Drosophila melanogaster: one gene and its partners. The protein of the gene in region 1 interacts with the protein of each later gene in a pairwise test. Each region holds a gene or a part of one and is shown in the gene's direction. Other genes may lie near its edges. The genes, in order: Mst87F, H2.0, Grx5 and CG15370.

Region 1 (3,252 bases):
CGCTATGGCGACACGATGCGTTCACTTTCCTTTTTCAAGGCAGCTGAATCCTTTTTCGGGGGGCGGCACGTGCCCAGAACTACCATTACCACTTTCCATTGGATTCTCAGGTTTCCTCTGTGCACCTTCAAATTGATCGGCAAGAAAACGAGCTGCAGCATTCTTCAACTTTGATTTAGACATCTAAATAATATTTAAGTTAACATCAGAGTACTATGTATGTATGTACATATATCCGACTTTCAGAACTGCGCCTTACTTTTCCTTTTTAGCGATCAGCTGCCACTTTTTAGGGGGCGGCACGTGCTTTCTTCACTTTCGTCGGCTTCTCGGGTTACCTGAATCCGCCGTTTACCCTTTCGGTCGCTCCTCACCTTTGGCCCCATTGACGGCCACGCCCCTAAAGTCATTATGGCGCACACTTAGGGATAGGCGGATATTGATTTCCCTGGGCTGACTGGCAGTACTCAGCGCTTTCCAGCCGATGATGATGACATCTGCGTGTGCCCATTGTGTTTCACTTTTCATCAAACTTATATTAATAAGTTGATGCGAGGGGCCATAATTAAAGCGAATTCGATATTTCCGGCCGGAGGAAAGACATTTGGTTCACTGAACCCAATAAAAATCCTTGAACTCCCGTCGCCAGACGAAATACAAAATATTTGTATACATATGTATTGCCAATAATCTATTTCAAACAAAGGCCAGCCACAAATATGAACGAAAAAACTAAGTTAGAGCAGCGTCTGCTGCCCTTTTGGCGGCACCCTCACAAAATTATTGACCAGAGTTCCATCCATCTCGAGTTTGAAAAAAAAAAACCAGAGAGCCACAGAGAGAAAAATTCAATGAAAGTCATTTAACCACATTTAGGTGGTAAGAAAATAATTATTTAAAATCTGCTACCGCTTTCCGATTCGATTGAGACGCGCTTCGTCACTAAGTTCGCTACTAGATTTATGTAACTAAGTTTGATTCACTTTATATTAGACACTTTGTAATATAAGCTAGATTTGTATTTAATATATCTTACTCTACTCTTGTTCACATTTCTTTGAGACGCCTTTCGTCACTACGCTATATATTTTTTCTATGATAGTGATTTTTCACCGTGCCGAAACAGAACGACTTTGAGTTGGACTTGTCCGTCTCCTCGGATGCGAGATTCTACCCAAATATTTCTGCTAGAAGGGAGAGGACTTCTGTGCGGTTTGACGACGGGGTTTTTGCTTCGGTTTCTGCCTCTGCTGATCGACACACACACAAATACATACATACATTCTAATCAACATGCGGCAAAACATATAATTCGAATTTTTGATATTTCGCCCGACCATTTTGCGAAGAAAATTGCATTTAAACGCCTATTATGCGCTTTTTATTTGCAACCCATACTTTTCTGCCCGAATGCTCCGGCTGACTCAGTCATGCACAAATACAAATCATTGTATAATCATTGTGTATAACACTAGGGTTCCATTTTGGAGGCTGGCGAGCTCTGTCAACTGGTCCACTAGGCTTCCTGCTTTTCGGGAGTTAATTAAATCCGAAATCGTAAAATCGTTAGCAAATGAAATAAATTGCGCTCAATTACACCGAGTGACATCCAAGGCGCAATCGCTGGTGATTGACCTCTTTCAATGCGACGACATTCTTGGCTCGATTCGGCTGGGGAAAAAAACCAAGAAAAAACAAAATAAAAAACATAAGCAACACAAGTCTTCGGTCAGATAATGAACTTAATATACACTTGCATATATAGTATACCCGTTCAGCCCCGATACCCGGATTCTCGGCAATCGGCAATCGGCTATGCGCCATGCACTTAATCAAAAAGTACGACAAAATCAAGAGTAAACAAAAGTGCAGCGCAGAACTCGACTTGAGAACCGGCAGCGATTCGAACTTCAGCCGGGTGCAATGAACACATGATCCGACAAAACAAAAATTTAAATCTCATTTACCTCGTTTATATGTTACAGTGCACTGGAAAAATAGTGGCAACTTGATGCGTTCCTACCAAGTTGGATGATAACTACATAGGTAGGATCGAAATATAAAGGTTAATTCACATGAAGATTGAGCATTTCCCTACTTACAATACAATCATTATAAGCTTTAGCCAATGCTTTAAACAAAATATTTTATATAGTATCCTTTGCCTCTTCAGTCCGACTTGTCAAACCGATATACCTGTGCGTAACCAGATTTTGTATCATTATTATTTGTCCTTTCGGCCTGAACACATCAAAATTTGTCGTCTAGTCTCAAATTATTTCTTTTTGTTCGGTTCAAAGTGAGTGAAAATAAGTGAAAATTTACAAAAATGAAAATGTGTAAAAAATTCCTATGGCATATCATTTAAACGTACCTTTTCTCCCTTCAGAACTTTTACGAATTAATCATGTGCTGCGGACCCTGTGGACCCTGCTGCGGACCTTGCTGCGGACCCTGCTGTGGTCCATGCGGACCATGCGGAGGAGGATGTGGACCCTGCTATGGACCGAATGTCTGCGGACCATGCTATGCCTGTGGACCCTGTGGCGGCTGCTATTGTGGATACCCTTGCTGCTAGACAGTTGCAACTGGCCATGTCCAAGAAGGGTTCACCAGAACACCAAGACGATAGGATAGAACCTATCCCTATTTCATCCTCGTATTCATCTAATATTCGTGAACCACAAATATAGGTATTTGAGACAATAAATATGAGGTGTAAGCTTCAAGAAGGTTTGGTTTTTGATTAGTGATAATAGTCAAATGCAATTTGCTTAGCCAAATATCTGATTTTAGAACACAGATACAGATGTTTAGACGCAAATGCGACCTGAATTAGAATCGATCCGCAGTCTTCTAATGCGATGTGGTCGACCTTGACGTTTCGCCGAGAGTTTATTGTCCTTTCAATAGAACACGCTAAATAAAACTTATTTAAGCAGGTACATACATATTTAACCCGCACACAGTCATGCATGTTCTTGTGTTTTTGTTTTTATTTTTATTTTTATTTTACTTTTGTGTATATTTACTGCACTAATTCTGCGACGAACTAGTTTCGGCACAGCGGATTCCGATTCCTGAATTCCGAGCGGTATTAAACGACGGCGAAGCGCAAAAAGTCAACAAAGTGCATATAAAAAATATATTTAAATTTACCCGAATGCCGCCGTCTCCAGTCGCCGATCCGATCCCCCTGGAGATGACCGCCCCCCCCCCCCCACCCCTTTTTGGCCATATTTCTGGCCAACT
Region 2 (7,990 bases), on another chromosome or scaffold:
GGTCTCCGTCGCCGTTTGCAGCTCCTTCCTGTAAAGCGCTCGTATGCCGCGGCCCAGGTGGCGGATGTGCTCGAAGTTGCGAACGTTGAGCGCAACCAGAGCAACTGCGTCCAGATTCAGCAGCTTGTGTCCATCAATGTAGTTCTCCCGAAAAGTTTGCTGTAACGAAGCTATAGGTTACCCAACATAGTGAGTAAGAATCTTAGCCCACCTCGTACTCGGGATAACCAAAGTTGCGCAGCCAGTCGGTCACATCGTTGATGCTCCACTTGAAGACCTCAGTGCGGGCTTGGGAATCCACGACGGCGGCGCAGAGATTGAAGAGCGAGTCCGGCGAGGCCTTGAAGGGTAGCGGCACATCCTCCTTGTCGTACTCCACGTCCGGAAACATGTAGCTGGGATAGCGAAAGCAGAACTCCTGCTCATCCTGCGGCGGCTCACAGATATCCGGACTGTCCATGCCACTGGCACTGTGCGGCAGTGGTGACGGTATGGTGGAGCACCTGGACGCTGAGAACGACTCCATTCGAGTGGTGGCAGCGCACTGTTCCTGGGCCAAAGTGAATTGAGTTGCCCCGCAACGATTTGGTTGCGGTTTCCAGCGATTCCTCAAGAATAAGTGGCGTTCGTGTCTGTTTACATAGTTTGATTGCGTTTCGCTTTCATTTGTTGTATGCCCTATAATTTTCCGGGAAAAGTTGTTGGCTACAATCACTAAGGCTCAATTTGCACTTTAAATGGGTTAATGGAATTTAAGCCATGCTCTTTCCAATCAGTATCTTTGAACGTTCGGCATATCCTGGAATGTATCTGAATCTTTTTTTTTAAGTAAAAAGGATTATTTTATTATTAATCGGACTTCACTTTGAAGAGGATAAAAGTGTCACCGACTGGCGATGGATTTTCCGCTGCCATTGCATTTGCATATTCCACATTTTCTGGGTCACTTTGTGGGCTTGTGGTGCTAGGGTGTTTTTGGCACCAAATCCGCCCGCTTGGATGGGAGTTTTGTGCCGGAAAGTATGCTATCTTAAGGTAGTCACGACAATTTTCCTATTAATAACGCCAGTTTCGCTCCGCAATTTACACATTTCTACTTAAGTTTTCCAACCCCGACGATCCGTTCGTGTTCCGTTTTGCGGATTTCCGCTTGTGGAATGCGGTTTCTGATTTATGACCACCAGTCCCGGTTACCCACTTCATTGAACCCAGACAGCGTGGAGCAGGTGGAGTTCGCGCAGATCGCTCAATCCCAAGCCAATGGAAGGCACATTCCTTGGGCGCGAAAGCGAGATGCCGCATCAGCGCCACCAGTGGCTCCGCCCACCACTGCGGATCGATCGCATTGGCCAGAAATCACGAACCACGAGCCACTCGACATGGCCTCTGCGCAGGGAAACCGGAATTCGGATGGGGTGTGTGTGTCTGTGTGTGGGAGTACGGGAACATATGGAGAAATCGGTAAACAAATCTCGGCTGCGCTCGAGGAAACGATCTCCGACTGAGCTAATGACACAGCGGCATGCTTGTGTGTAAACAAGCGATCGGCATGGCAAGGTATCCCATCTGTGTGTGGCTACAGTGGGATCAGGTCTATGGTAAGTGGATTAACATAATTTTAGGGCACTTTCTAGAGGTATATAGATCTTCAGCGGAATAGAAACCAATGTTACCACCAACCGAAGCCCAAAAATCTAATCTTTCTTGATAGTATTACTCTTCTTGAGTATTACTTTATAAACAATATACACGTTGGATAAAAAAATATCCTGGTTTGTATATCCTGTATATCGAACATATAGCCATTATTTATTGTTAGCATTATATCCTGATCATCTCGCACTCCTTGCCCCACTGTCAGCACCAGGAATACACAATCTCAGCGAGATTAACCCCACCGCCAACAGACTGTTCCGCGTTGGCTGGCCGATCGGCAATCGATGGCTGGTTGAGCGTGCTCCCTGGCCGGTTCCGATCAGTTCTGAGTGGGATGTCTTGCAAGGCGGTTTAATCGGAGGTGCACGAGACCTAAGCCAAAATTCGCGATCGTTTTATTGGTGCACAGCGACGGTGTTTTGGACATGATAGATAGTCCCTATCGATTGTGAACGTGTGAAATCAGTTTTGAGTGTCCTGTGTCGAGATTCGTAGATAGAAACCATATACAACACATATCCGGACAATGTTACTACACGAGAGTGCCGCCAGCATGGAACAGAGTATGCCCGAGAACCTCAGCACTCACATGTACGGCGAGTGTGAAGTGAATCCAACGCTGGCAAAGTGTCCCGATCCAGTGAATGTCGATCATGAGCTGCCCACCAAAGAATCCTGTGCCTCGACTACCATAGTCAGTACGTCGCCAACCAGCGCCACGAGCACCACCAAAGTCAAGCTGAGCTTCAGTGTGGATCGTCTGTTGGGCTCGGAACCCGAGGAATCCCACCGGCAGAGCTCCTCCTCGCCCTCGACCAAGTCATGCTGCGATGGCAGCATTCTAGCCTGCTGCTCCTTCCCCCACTGCTTCAGCCAGGCGAATGCCGAATCCCGTAGGTTTGGACATGCCACGCTTCCGCCCACTTTCACACCCACTTCATCGCACACGTACCCCTTCGTGGGTCTGGATAAGCTGTTCCCTGGCCCCTATATGGATTACAAATCAGTGCTCAGACCGACGCCAATTCGGGCAGCAGAACACGGTAAGGATGCACTATACTCAAAAGGGAACATCCTTTGAATCCGAGCAGGTTTTACAAAAAAAATGTCCATTTGAAAGTAAATCATTCAAAATTACCATTAAGTGCACGGCATTTGGAACATCATGAGCAAACCGAGTTGATAGAAGGAAAACATTTAATCTCTGTAAGGGATGCCTTAAATTAATATGAACTATATTGGTACTGATCCGTATTACATGGATTATAGGTACCTAAGTGTATTTTTAAGATACTTTTAAACTTAAAAGGAATCAGCTCCATACAGAAAGCTATTGAAACATCATTCGTTCGCAGTGAACCTCTTCTAGTTCCAACAACGTACCACTTATCAAAATAATATTTTATACCCATGACTCTATCTTGTAGATACGATCTATCATCTGCACTATTTCAATCTCCCCGTATGTTGTGTGCACTTGCAGCGCCAATAAAACTGATCAAAGCTAATCAGATATTGCGATTTGTCAATCATTCTGCATTCTTTCCATGGAAATATGCAGGATCTCAGGGAACGATCAAACGAGTTGATGAGGTGGCTTCGCCATTTGCCCATCAAAATTCCTTAGCTATTTCGCTCTGTTTTTCAATTATGGACTATAATTATTAGCCATGTTGAGATTTGCAGAGAAAATCGTGAAATGGAATTTAGCCAAATGGGAAATGAACATTCCTGGAAACACAAAGAGTGAGAACCTAAGGCGCAGCCCCAATAAATTTCACGTTTTTATTTGAATTATTAGTTGATCTGCAGCCATATTGTGCAATATTCCTGCGGCCAAATGTTCCGCGCCTTTGGCTCTTGACGAAAACAATTCGATTTTTGAAATCGACAACAAAATAGTCCGGATTGTTTTGGGTATTTGCCGTACTTCCTGCTGTTTTTGTATATCTGGGGACGAAGACTTCTTATAAAGCCTGCAGGCTGCCAGCGCACTTTGATCTTGTTTATGTGAAAATGGAAATGGAAATGGAAATAGTGAGAGCAACATAATCGGTAAATGTTTCGCTTTTCGAATAGAAATTGTTCATTGTTTAACAAGCTGCTTGAGTTTTATACATATCGTCAGCACAGCCTTTTCCCATTCAATATTGTACACAATTCTTATCAAGTGGGTGCTAACAATGCGAGGGCCTTAAACGATCTTAAAGATCTTTTGCGGATAAATGAGATACATATTTGGTTTGGGATTCCTCAATGGATAAATTGATTAGGAAATGTCTGAGATATTAATTTATTTCAAAATAAGAGACCCGCAAATATGTGGAGCTATACTAAAATGATGTGTAAATGGTATTAGCGAGCTTAACTTAAAGCTTACTATAGTTTAGACCTAGTTACAAGTAGCAAAATACAATTTTTTAACAGCCGACTAAAACATATTCAAAAAAGACTTTGGTTGATTCATCCAACGTAAATTCGATACTAATAGCCCTTTAAATTCCGCCAAATTCCAGCACACGATTAAATTATGTAGCAAAATTAGCGCCAAACTTAAATAAATTACACTTCACACAATGATGGAACATTAATGAAAATTATCATCAGTGCTAAGTGGTTTTCAAACACATTTGCTCAGCCAAAAATGGGAGGAGCAATTAGTAAGGCGAATAAATTCGACATAGCTCAATCAACAAAAGATCGGTAAAAAAAAAACGAAGAACAGACAGCACCTGAAAGGCTTCATCAATCCTTTGGGCACCGCAAATAGATGAGATGCCAAAGACCAAAGTGGAAAATTAAGAACAATTTATGAACAAATTACGAGTCAGTCTTTAAAAATAAACTTCAAGCTCACACGGATCGTGGAAAACGTTTGTGGCGAACAGTTTGTTTATTTGCTTGGGCAATTGGCCCGTCATTCATGGGCAGATACAGATAGCTATCCATCTAATTGCCCGCTCTCTAATGAATTGTTCCGCCGGCCGAGGAGTTCGACAGGTGGAGGCATCTTTGGCCCGGCTAGAGACGCGGATCTCTGATAGATTGGGCGCCACGGTTCCAACTACTGCGGCTCAACCGACTCCAATGAGGCTCGGCTGCCGTTTAGGCCAACGACAGGGAACTGCTGACCGATGGATGACTGTACCGGGTATGGGTACGGGCACGGGCACGGGTGAAACTATGCGCTGTTCTTTGGGGGCCGAGCCAAAAGGCCAAGTATTTACACAACCACCCACTGTGGTGGCCTTTTCAGGAGGAGGCTACCCTGTGGCTGCCCGCCGTGTCCAACCTGCCGGCCCCTGCGGAATTATTCCGTGATGGATTGATTGCATCGCATCGCACATCATAAAATCATGGACCAGCGAGATCTCTGCGGCTCCTCCGTCGACTATTTGTTGCTGTTTGCCTGTCCCGCCTGGCGATGAGTAGTTTGTTGATCTGTTGTTGTTGCTCTTCTGGCTGCCGATCAATCGATCCATCCATCGATCGATTGGATGCTACAGACCATTGTCTGATATGGAAATTCTGTCTGAACAATAATCCGGCGCCGTGGGTCTAATTAATTAGCAATTTATATGTTAATCCAACTGATAGATGCACTTTCAAAGCGTTCGAAGATCCCTGATTAATGATGGCCCTCAGACGATTTCTTTTGGAACTTTGAAGACTCTTTCTCAAGTTCCCAACAGCAGGGGAGGGTTGTAGCAATAATAATTACCACGCACTCAACTCAAATTAACGGGACTGATATATGTATGTAGATACCACAACTATAGGATTAACTATAATGAATTGAGTGAAAATTGACGACAATCCCAAGTAGCTAAAGATATTTCACGAAATATACAATTGAAATATTAGCTATACTTTTGATTTCACTTAAATATTTTGAAAGTACATAATGCAGATAATATATCTTAGTGCATAGTTAGCTGGTAAAAGTCAGAGATTCGGATGTTCGGAAGTAGATACATATGTATAATATATTAAAATCAATCAAATAAACACATACTCCGCTTGTCGAGCTGGTAGTCGAAATTTCCATAGCACATGGCCCACTGGGAGTGCTCTGCTTAACCCCAAAAGATCATTCGCAATTTACCGCGAAATAAGCCACAATATTCGCCAAGTCGTAAATGTGGAATGCATCGTGCTAATAAATCGATGCAACTTAAATATGGCTGCGAAATGTACGATTCGCAAACACATCCTACTGGAGATGCATCTGCAACCCAGACCCTTGAGTGATTTAAGATGGCATCCGAAAAATTATCACAACTCATTAAGATATTTACGGGTCCGCTGGCGGTATTTTGTAAATGTATCTGAACGGGAAAGTCGGCAATTAATGATCTCGCGCTGTGAGTGAACCCCAATGCCCCGGCCAACATCCAAGGTGTTGAAAGTCGGTGAAAACTCATTATAACAAACCCCCGATGGTTGACACAAGCCAAATGCCAAAACGGCCAATTAAGGCGTTATTAGCCCCTGCAGATGTGCTGAGATTCCATTGGCGTTCCCGATGCAGATACACAAGCGCACGGATTGAGATACAATTGTATCCACAAGTGCAGAAGCGCATTTCCGCTGCAGTGTAAATACACACAATCGATCGAGTAGTGTGTTGCTTAAGTAAATAAAACGCTCGATCTCGAAAACAATTAGGCGCATGCCGCGAGCACACAAACAAATCGAATTCCACATAGCACAACGTTAAAAAGGCAATAAAAAATACCTATGATAATTTAGCGTTGGCTACAAACAAAGAGGAATGGTTTGCAGTTTGAAATCAAATAAAATTCAATGAAAAAGTCAAGGATAGGAATTAAAATTGTGGCCTTTTAACAACATCAGGATTACATTTCATATCAACATTAGTGAACATTATCGTGAACTGAGGATTCAAAGGAACTTTTTGTAGCATACTTTTCAGCGGAGTCCTTTGAGTTGATAAATGCCGTAATGATCTTGATTGAAACTCAGTAGTTAGATAAAGGATAGTAAATGCCAATAATGATTGGAAATACAATAGGAAAGTCAACGTCATTCGAATTGTTTCTTACTGCGTGTATAAATTCTTGGATATTTAAAAAACATTTAAGGGAAGTAAAGCACCCTGGTTCGACCTCAACCTCGTGTGCCCCATGTCGTGTTCGATTACCCCAAATAATTTTGGATCTCTAGAGGTAATTGTTGTTGTTTAGATTCGCGCTAGAAGTAAACAAATTTCGTTTGCCCCCCCTAGCCACAAAACGCTTCAATGATAATTTCCAATTAAGTGAAAATTTTATTATAAACAAGCCCATTTAAAAATTCTCAACATGCATTTTATTGATCAAAATAATTTACTCAGAAAACACAAAAAATTGAATTTCATATTTTCTTTGGCGAAACAAGTATCATTTCTTTGGCCGGCGATAAATGTATTATTTCCTGCGGATGCAATGTGCTACCAAGGGAGGATGTTGTCCATAACTAATGGTAGTTTTCCTATAAAAATAAATATCCAAATTGGTGCGTAAAAAACGCACCGGATTCAGTATAGCAACAAATTAAGAGTTATTGCTAATGAAGGAAGTATGAATCTCCCAATTGACTTTAACATTCCATTCCCGAACAGCCGCACCCACTTATCCCACGCTGGCTACCAATGCGCTCCTCCGCTTCCATCAACATCAGAAGCAGCAGCACCAGCAGCATCATCATCATCAGCACCATCCCAAACACCTCCATCAGCAGCACAAGCCCCCGCCACACAACTCGACGACAGCCTCGGCGCTACTGGCGCCGCTCCACAGCCTCACGAGCCTCCAGCTGACGCAACAGCAGCAGCGATTTCTGGGCAAGACGCCGCAGCAGCTCCTGGACATAGCGCCCACCTCGCCCGCCGCCGCCGCCGCTGCCACATCCCAGAACGGTGCACATGGACATGGAGGTGGCAATGGCCAGGGCAACGCCTCAGCCGGAAGCAATGGGAAGCGCAAGCGATCCTGGTCTCGCGCCGTCTTCTCGAATCTGCAGCGCAAGGGCCTGGAGATTCAGTTCCAGCAGCAGAAGTACATCACCAAGCCAGATCGCCGCAAGCTGGCGGCACGACTGAATCTCACCGACGCTCAGGTTAGTTAAAAGATGGGATTTTCATAGTTTAACATTTGCACATTCGACTCCTTTCATAGCTCTATAAAAACCAATATATTATTATTTTTATACCCTGATTAGGTCAAGGTGTGGTTCCAGAACCGTCGCATGAAGTGGCGGCACACGCGCGAGAATCTGAAGAGTGGCCAGGAGAAGCAGCCGAGTGCAGTACCCGAATCCGGAGGTGTCTTCA
Region 3 (3,289 bases), on another chromosome or scaffold:
ACTGTGCTGGTGATTTTTATTAGTTTTATGGCGCTGCTGGGGGACTTTTGTGAGCAGCTCTCTATCAAAGTTCTAATAAAACACAAATAAGTTGCGAATAAAAAGTAGAGCAAGGGGGTGCGGCATGACGTAAGCAGCCATGTGTGCGTGTGTGTATGTGTGTGTGTGTGAGGGGGAGAGAGAGAAGGAGAGAGCGAGTACGTTAGAAGGAGAGCGAGAGATGGGGCGCGTCTTATCAATGAGCTCATCATTCTTGCACTGAGAAAAATCAGAACAAATTCCCAGCAACCACAACAACAACAAAAGAACACGGTGTGTATAAATACCAAACAACAAAAATAACCCGCACACACAGACACGCACACGCATACACACTAGAAAATTAACCCTTAGTGTGTGCGTGCATTCTGATTGGGGTGGCTGATTGGAGTTTCTAAATAAACAAAGTTTGTTATTGCCGCTTTGTTGTTGCTGTACCAATGTTTATTAGCAATTGTTTTTAGCTAGAACTCATGACTTAGACCGCGTTTAGCAAAAACCGGCTTTACACTAGATTATTCGTAAATCATCGAAATGCGAGCCGGGAAAAAAGTTTATCAGCATCCCACAGTTTGTTTTCCGTTTTTGTAGTTGTTGCTCTGCCACTGCAACTTCCAACTAGTTTTTCATTCACTCACTGGCACAGTAAAAAAAAAATTCAAAAAATATTTCGACTTTAATTGATCGCGTCGACGCAGTAAATTAATTCCTGATTTTCAATTAAAACGAATCAATTGACGAAATTTTTACCGTTCTTAAGAACCGAGTCCCTTTACGCTGGAGATGGAAAAACGCCGATTGTTTGCTTGCATCGATGCTGTCGCTTCAAAAAGTAAGATTATCGATTGTTAGCGATGTGTCGAACATCTCGACGATATTTTAACTATTTATAGTTTCAATTCGAATATATTTCAAGAAAATAAAATTAAAACGAATAATTCACTAGGTTTTTAATCAATGTTTTTATTCGCTTTCACACTTAATAATTTAACCAATAGTATTGTGCACCCCTCGTCACGTCCAGTCGATATGTATTGCATAGAATTAGCCAGTCTGGTTATCGATAACTAGTCCAACTGGAGTCTCGGATGTAAACAAAACTGAAATAAAAAACAAAAACAAGAGAGTGAATTTAACAATGTCGCGCGGCAACGAATTGGTATTCAAAGCGAAGAAAACATCAGAGAAGATATCGGAGAACATACACATATTCGCCAACGATCCATCGCTGGCGTTTTTCCGTGTGCAGGAGCACGTTCGCAAGGTTACCCCAGCGATTTTCGAGAAACGCGATGAAGTCTTTCAGCTGCAAAATAATCTCCAGGGACATTGCTATGATATGGAATACGGCATACAGTAGGATCAACTACTAAATAATAAAATAATATATAATTGAATCTATTTAACCGCAGAGCGCTGCGAACGATTGAAAAATCGGAGAGCATATTTGAGAACATCCAGGAAATGATCAAGGCTTCAATATTCCTCAAGCAGCAGCTAAAGTACGAGGAGAGCAGAAAGAAAGTGAAGAAGGATAGCACCAAATCTTCCGTCTACAAGCGATTCTCCGCCCATCTGGCACTGGATCTCCCGGATTTACCCGATTTCGGTGGCGTTATGCGGGAAACTAGCCAGCGAATGGAGAATATGATAGGTCCTGGCACGGCAACAGGACGTACTGAGGCCCAGGCCGCGACATCCAGTAATCCTGGCGAGCTCCAACGATCCTATACGACACTCCACTAGATTAAGTAGGTTCTAGCATTGTACTCATAGCTATGTATGCATTATTATTCTAAAATACATTTATTTTAATTGTAAGACATGTACTTTTATCATAACTGACTACTCCTGCTTTATAGTTTCTATAATATGCATAAAAAAAAGTATTAAAATATTATGAAAATTCTTGAAATGCTTATAATCGAAAACCGTTCGATAGTCGATAGGCCGTTCAGTCGCCACTCGAGCGAGCTATCGATACCTTTTTAGCTGACACTTGAACAGCACTTGTTTTATTAGATAATATTGCTAATATTATTATTACCTCGACCAAGTCGCTGCCGTCAAGATGAACCGAATTTGCCAGAGTCTCCGCCATCCGAGATACCAGATTCTCGCCACCACAGCACCGCAATCCCTGCTCACCCGCTTTCTTGCGGCGGATGCGGCCACCGGCGCGGCAGTGGACAAGGCGACAATGGACAAGCTGGTGCGCACCAACAAGGTGGTCGTCTTCATGAAGGGCAACCCACAGGCGCCACGCTGCGGCTTCAGCAATGCGGTGGTGCAGATTATGCGGATGCACGGTGTCCAGTACGATGCCCACGATGTGCTGCAAAACGAGTCCCTGCGACAGGGTGAGTACGCTCCACATATGCATTAGCGTGCCAGCGTTAAACCTTATTGCTTGCGTGCAGGTGTCAAGGACTACACCGACTGGCCGACCATTCCGCAGGTGTTCATCAATGGCGAATTTGTCGGCGGTTGCGACATCCTGCTGCAGATGCACCAGAGCGGCGATCTCATCGAGGAGCTCAAGAAGGCGGGCATCATTTCGGAGCTGCTGAAAGCGGAGGAGGCTAAGCAGCAGGACGACAAGGCTAAGTGATGATTCAAAAAGAGCGCCCAAAGATCAAATTCCCTTCCTAAATCTGTTAGTCACGCAACGTTTTTATTATTAAATGTTTAACTCATAACGACAATGGTGTGCGTTGTTCCGTGTGATTTAAATGGCAGCCAATGGCATATAATCGCAGGCGCTCATTTATGATTGTGATTAAGATATAGCAGGCTTTGTAAAAGTACCATTATAATGTAAGCAAGCATTCTATAGGATGAATTCAGTTGCGCGTCCTGCGCCTCTCGTCGATTTGCTGCAGGAGGCATAGGATTCGACTGCGTGCCTGCAGAGCATCGTCCACCTGCAAGAGGGAAAAGCACTGTTGTCGATGCTGCGGATTAGTCATATTCACCAGGATCTCCATCAGGTTGTCGGCTATGGAGTGGCGCATCGTTTCCTCCGATGGCATTGGTGGAATCACGCGACTTGGACGAGTTGGAGTCGATTGAGCGGGATTTCTAAGTGGCAACTGATTCCCGACGTACTGCTCTTCATTGGGATACTCATCAGTTTGCTTTTCCAGATCCTTTGGTACCTGATTTTCCATCTCAATATCTTGGTTCTCATTTAGAAGCATTTTCTGATTAATCTTTAAATATTCTGAATTGTCGAGTTTATCTGCAGTCT
Region 4 (3,393 bases), on another chromosome or scaffold:
CGTCTAATAGGCTTTGCGGCTTAATGGAACGCTTTTTGCCTCATTGTGTTACCCCTTTTCTTTGCGTATACGTAATATGAGTGCTGGAAATATCCGGCATACCCCGATGCTACCCCCTCTTTCGACCAACAAACTGACCATGAATATTTTCGCTTTTGTTTGCCGACCATATAAACACGTTTTCGATTGTTTCGCCGTTTTCTTTTCTTTCCATTTATTGCCTTTTTAACTGGGTTGGATTTTGCATTCCCCGATTTTCTGCTTAATTTTCACGCCAAATGAAAAGCGTGAGAACCGCGAACATACATAATATTCATTAGCGAATTATAGATTGGGTTTGGTTTTCAGTTCTAAATTTTCAGACTTCGCAAATTAAATGCGAATAAATAAATATTTAAGCAATCAATCCAGATGCCACTTGCATATTAATTGTATTGTTTTTCGTTGTATTTTGTTTGCCATCTGAGAGAGAAAGAGAGATTTCCAAGTGGCCTACAATCGCGATGATAATGATACTGAAAATGATGATCGTGATAATGATGTCGCAGAGCAACTTTCTCAGTTTATTTTTTTTCCCCCTATTAGCATCACAATTAAATGTTTTTTATTAATTTCGTAGCGCGAAACTGAAAATTAGTATTGGCGATATGCGCCGATATTATATAAGTGAGAATATCGATTAGGTATGAATGAACACGGTAATTTCCCCGATAATTTCGATAGCTGCGAACAGATCAGGTCGCTTTCATTATTCAATTTGTATTAACTTTCGTTCGTTGTTGTCGTCTGGCTGGCGGCTAGAAAAATGTATGCATCGCATTTCAATAATAATGAAAACAAAAGTTAAAACAAATAAAACAACCGCTAGTTTCGGTGCGATGGAGAAAGGGCGAGGAGGGGGGCTAGTGTGGATAGAGCGGGATAGTGAGATTCCGTCGAACGGTGATTGCAAGAAAATGACATTTTACAGTTGCCCCCAAACACCCTACACTCACCTGCGTTTTGGAGCATCTCGGTTTTATGACACCGTTGGCAGCGCTCCATCGAAAAACCTAGAACTACAAAGTATTACTCATACATTCGCGAATTAATAATCCTTTTTATATCATACATTATGATATCCTTATTATATAAGGCATTATTGTTAATAATTATATAAAAATATGGAATATTATGATCACTCTTTTCTTTAGGATATCAGTACTAGGGTCCAGTGCAGAGACGTCAGAAACTGATAAAAATTCGAAGATATTTATTAATTTTTTTTAGAAAGAAACGCATGATGCAGAGTGGGAGATTCCACGCTGCGTAACAGAATGGAAACTTTATATTAATTTTATCAATTTACAAGAACTCATGCAGATAGCTTGTATGCAAGTTCTTTAAAGATTAACAAATTAATCGGAGAATAAAAATATTAGTAACATAATGAATAAGGTAATAATGGCAAAAAGAAATCCATTATTAATTTGCTAAAAGAAAGGTATACACGCACAAAGGGCATTTGAAGGTCGGCGCAGGGCAAGGTGTCATCCATTTCACCCGAGGGCTCCGTAGGTCAAGATGCTTGTCGTCGCCAGCATTGGCTGTTGTATATAAATTTTGACAAAAGAAAGACTTCGGTTTAAACCAATTTTGGCAAGGCGGCGACCATAAGGTGATGACCACTCGACGCGACGACATGGCATGGATTAGCGGCCGTTCCCACCTGCTGGTGCCTGTGATCTTGGTGCTGTTAATACCGTTGGTCGCGGGCTTCGGCAACGAGTATGTCCACATCAAGGTGCATGTGCCCAAAGAGGAGTCAGCGGCGGAGGAGTCGCCACACAAGGTGATCCACCACTACCACCACCATCCGCATCCGCATCAGTTATACCGCAATCGGGGACGAGCCCGTCCCAAGCCCAGTCCACTGCTGGAGAGCGTAATCCTCTCGGATCTGGACAAGCCGCTGCACATGAGCGAGCATGCGGACTATCTGAATCACGCCAAGGAGCTGGCCGACCACCTCACGGAGACGTATGCCAAAAAGGCAGCTCCTCCGCCGCCGCCGCCGCCCAAGAAGAAGGTCAACACTTATACGATCATTGAGGAGCAGCACAGACCACATGGCTACGACTACGAGGATCACCATGAGCCCAGTGTGGAGACTTATCGAGTGATTGAATCGCGACCCAAGCAGCAGCACCATCATCACACTCATACTCACCATCCGGTTGAGGAGGAGGAGGTGGACGACGATTATGGATATCACTATCCGAGCGGGGGAAATCATCATCATCATCATCATCATCAGACTGGCGCCTATGCGGAACCCGCACCAGTGGAGGAGCACATCGACCAGGAGCCGGATACGGGCTATAAGTATTCGCCACACAGTCACGCCTACATCCCGCCCAGCCACGGTCAGGCCCAGCGGAGCTCCAAGCAAACCAGAGCGCCAGCGTACACTCTCGAAGCTCCGCAGGAATCCTCCTTCGGATACGATTACTCGCGACCCTCGGCCGGAAGTAGCACTGACTTCCGGCCATCCGTCCAGGTGCCATCCAGTGACCCGTACGGCGAGGAGGAACCGGCGGACACCTATGGACCACCGCTTACGGCCACAAGGCGTCGCCGGCCATCGCAATCCCTGGTGGATTGGCCCGAGTCCAAGGGATTCAACAGTGCCGCGTCCGAAACATACAGTGGCGTCGATAGCTACAACGTGGGTCATGTTCAGGGCTATGGATCCAGTAGCTATCACCAGTACAGTGGTGGGCCCTATCTGTAGGCGTTCCAACACCCCGTCTAATCTAAGATCTATTTATTGCACTTTTTTTTTCCTAGCTTCGTAAGTCGATAGTCAGTTTTCAGATTTAAGCGATAAATAAATAAATGTTTGTAAACACTTAAAGAAATGTTATTCAATTTCTAGGAATCAAGTTGTTAGAAGTAATAAACAAAAGGTTAACTTATTTGTTTATTTATTTATTTGTTTCAACTCAATCCTAGCAGTTGGAAAGCACCAAGACCACTTGAAAATTATAATGTAATAAAAACGCAAATTTGAATAGTTGAAGTAATAAAAAAAAGAGACTGTCTAATTAGTATGCATATTATGATCTTGAATTCTCAAATTAGTTTATTTAAACACTAAAATCTAATATTCTAATGGTGCAAGAGTAAAATGCACTCATTTTTGTTATTGACTTCAACTTTGGATACCAACCGGTTCACTTGGCAATGGGAATTTAAGTATACTACTTAGTGCAATTATCCTAAGTCTTGATTCTATCTATAAAACGTATAATATATTTACATTCTGATTATTTATTATTATTTCAAATACGGAAATCGTGTTTGGTACATTCATACATGGACTACTGTTCTCAGTGTTTTTGAGGAAGTCAG

What was found.
Region 2: the proteins of Mst87F (region 1) and H2.0 interact in a two-hybrid assay, tested with the Drosophila melanogaster proteins (one large-scale study listed by BioGRID).
Region 3: the proteins of Mst87F (region 1) and Grx5 interact in a two-hybrid assay, tested with the Drosophila melanogaster proteins (one large-scale study listed by BioGRID).
Region 4: the proteins of Mst87F (region 1) and CG15370 interact in a two-hybrid assay, tested with the Drosophila melanogaster proteins (one large-scale study listed by BioGRID).

Annotation. Positions count from the first base shown.
Region 1 is NT_033777.3:13,826,626-13,829,877, reverse strand, and holds Mst87F (Male-specific RNA 87F), read left to right. Parts: upstream 1-1,869; 5' UTR 1,870-2,046; intron 2,047-2,191; exon of another isoform or gene 2,192-2,299; intron 2,300-2,389; 5' UTR 2,390-2,407; coding exon 2,408-2,578; 3' UTR 2,579-2,727; downstream 2,728-3,252.
Region 2 is NT_033779.5:6,013,386-6,021,375, reverse strand, and holds the start of H2.0 (homeodomain protein 2.0), read left to right. Parts: upstream 1-1,973; 5' UTR 1,974-2,182; coding exon 2,183-2,699; intron 2,700-7,279; coding exon 7,280-7,776; intron 7,777-7,878; coding exon 7,879-7,990. Other genes in the region: CG13996 (uncharacterized protein), read right to left, coding at 1-159, 212-526. UniProt on the Drosophila melanogaster protein: May play a role in pattern formation during embryonic and imaginal development. Is not essential for visceral muscle morphogenesis.
Region 3 is NC_004354.4:14,836,924-14,840,212, reverse strand, and holds Grx5 (glutaredoxin 5), read left to right. Parts: upstream 1-2,014; 5' UTR 2,015-2,110; coding exon 2,111-2,399; intron 2,400-2,459; coding exon 2,460-2,650; 3' UTR 2,651-2,742; downstream 2,743-3,289. Other genes in the region: CG32590 (uncharacterized protein), read left to right, coding at 1,178-1,395, 1,452-1,785; CG14410 (uncharacterized protein), read right to left, coding at 2,883-3,289.
Region 4 is NC_004354.4:9,223,796-9,227,188, forward strand, and holds CG15370 (uncharacterized protein), read left to right. Parts: upstream 1-1,641; 5' UTR 1,642-1,660; coding exon 1,661-2,773; 3' UTR 2,774-2,893; downstream 2,894-3,393.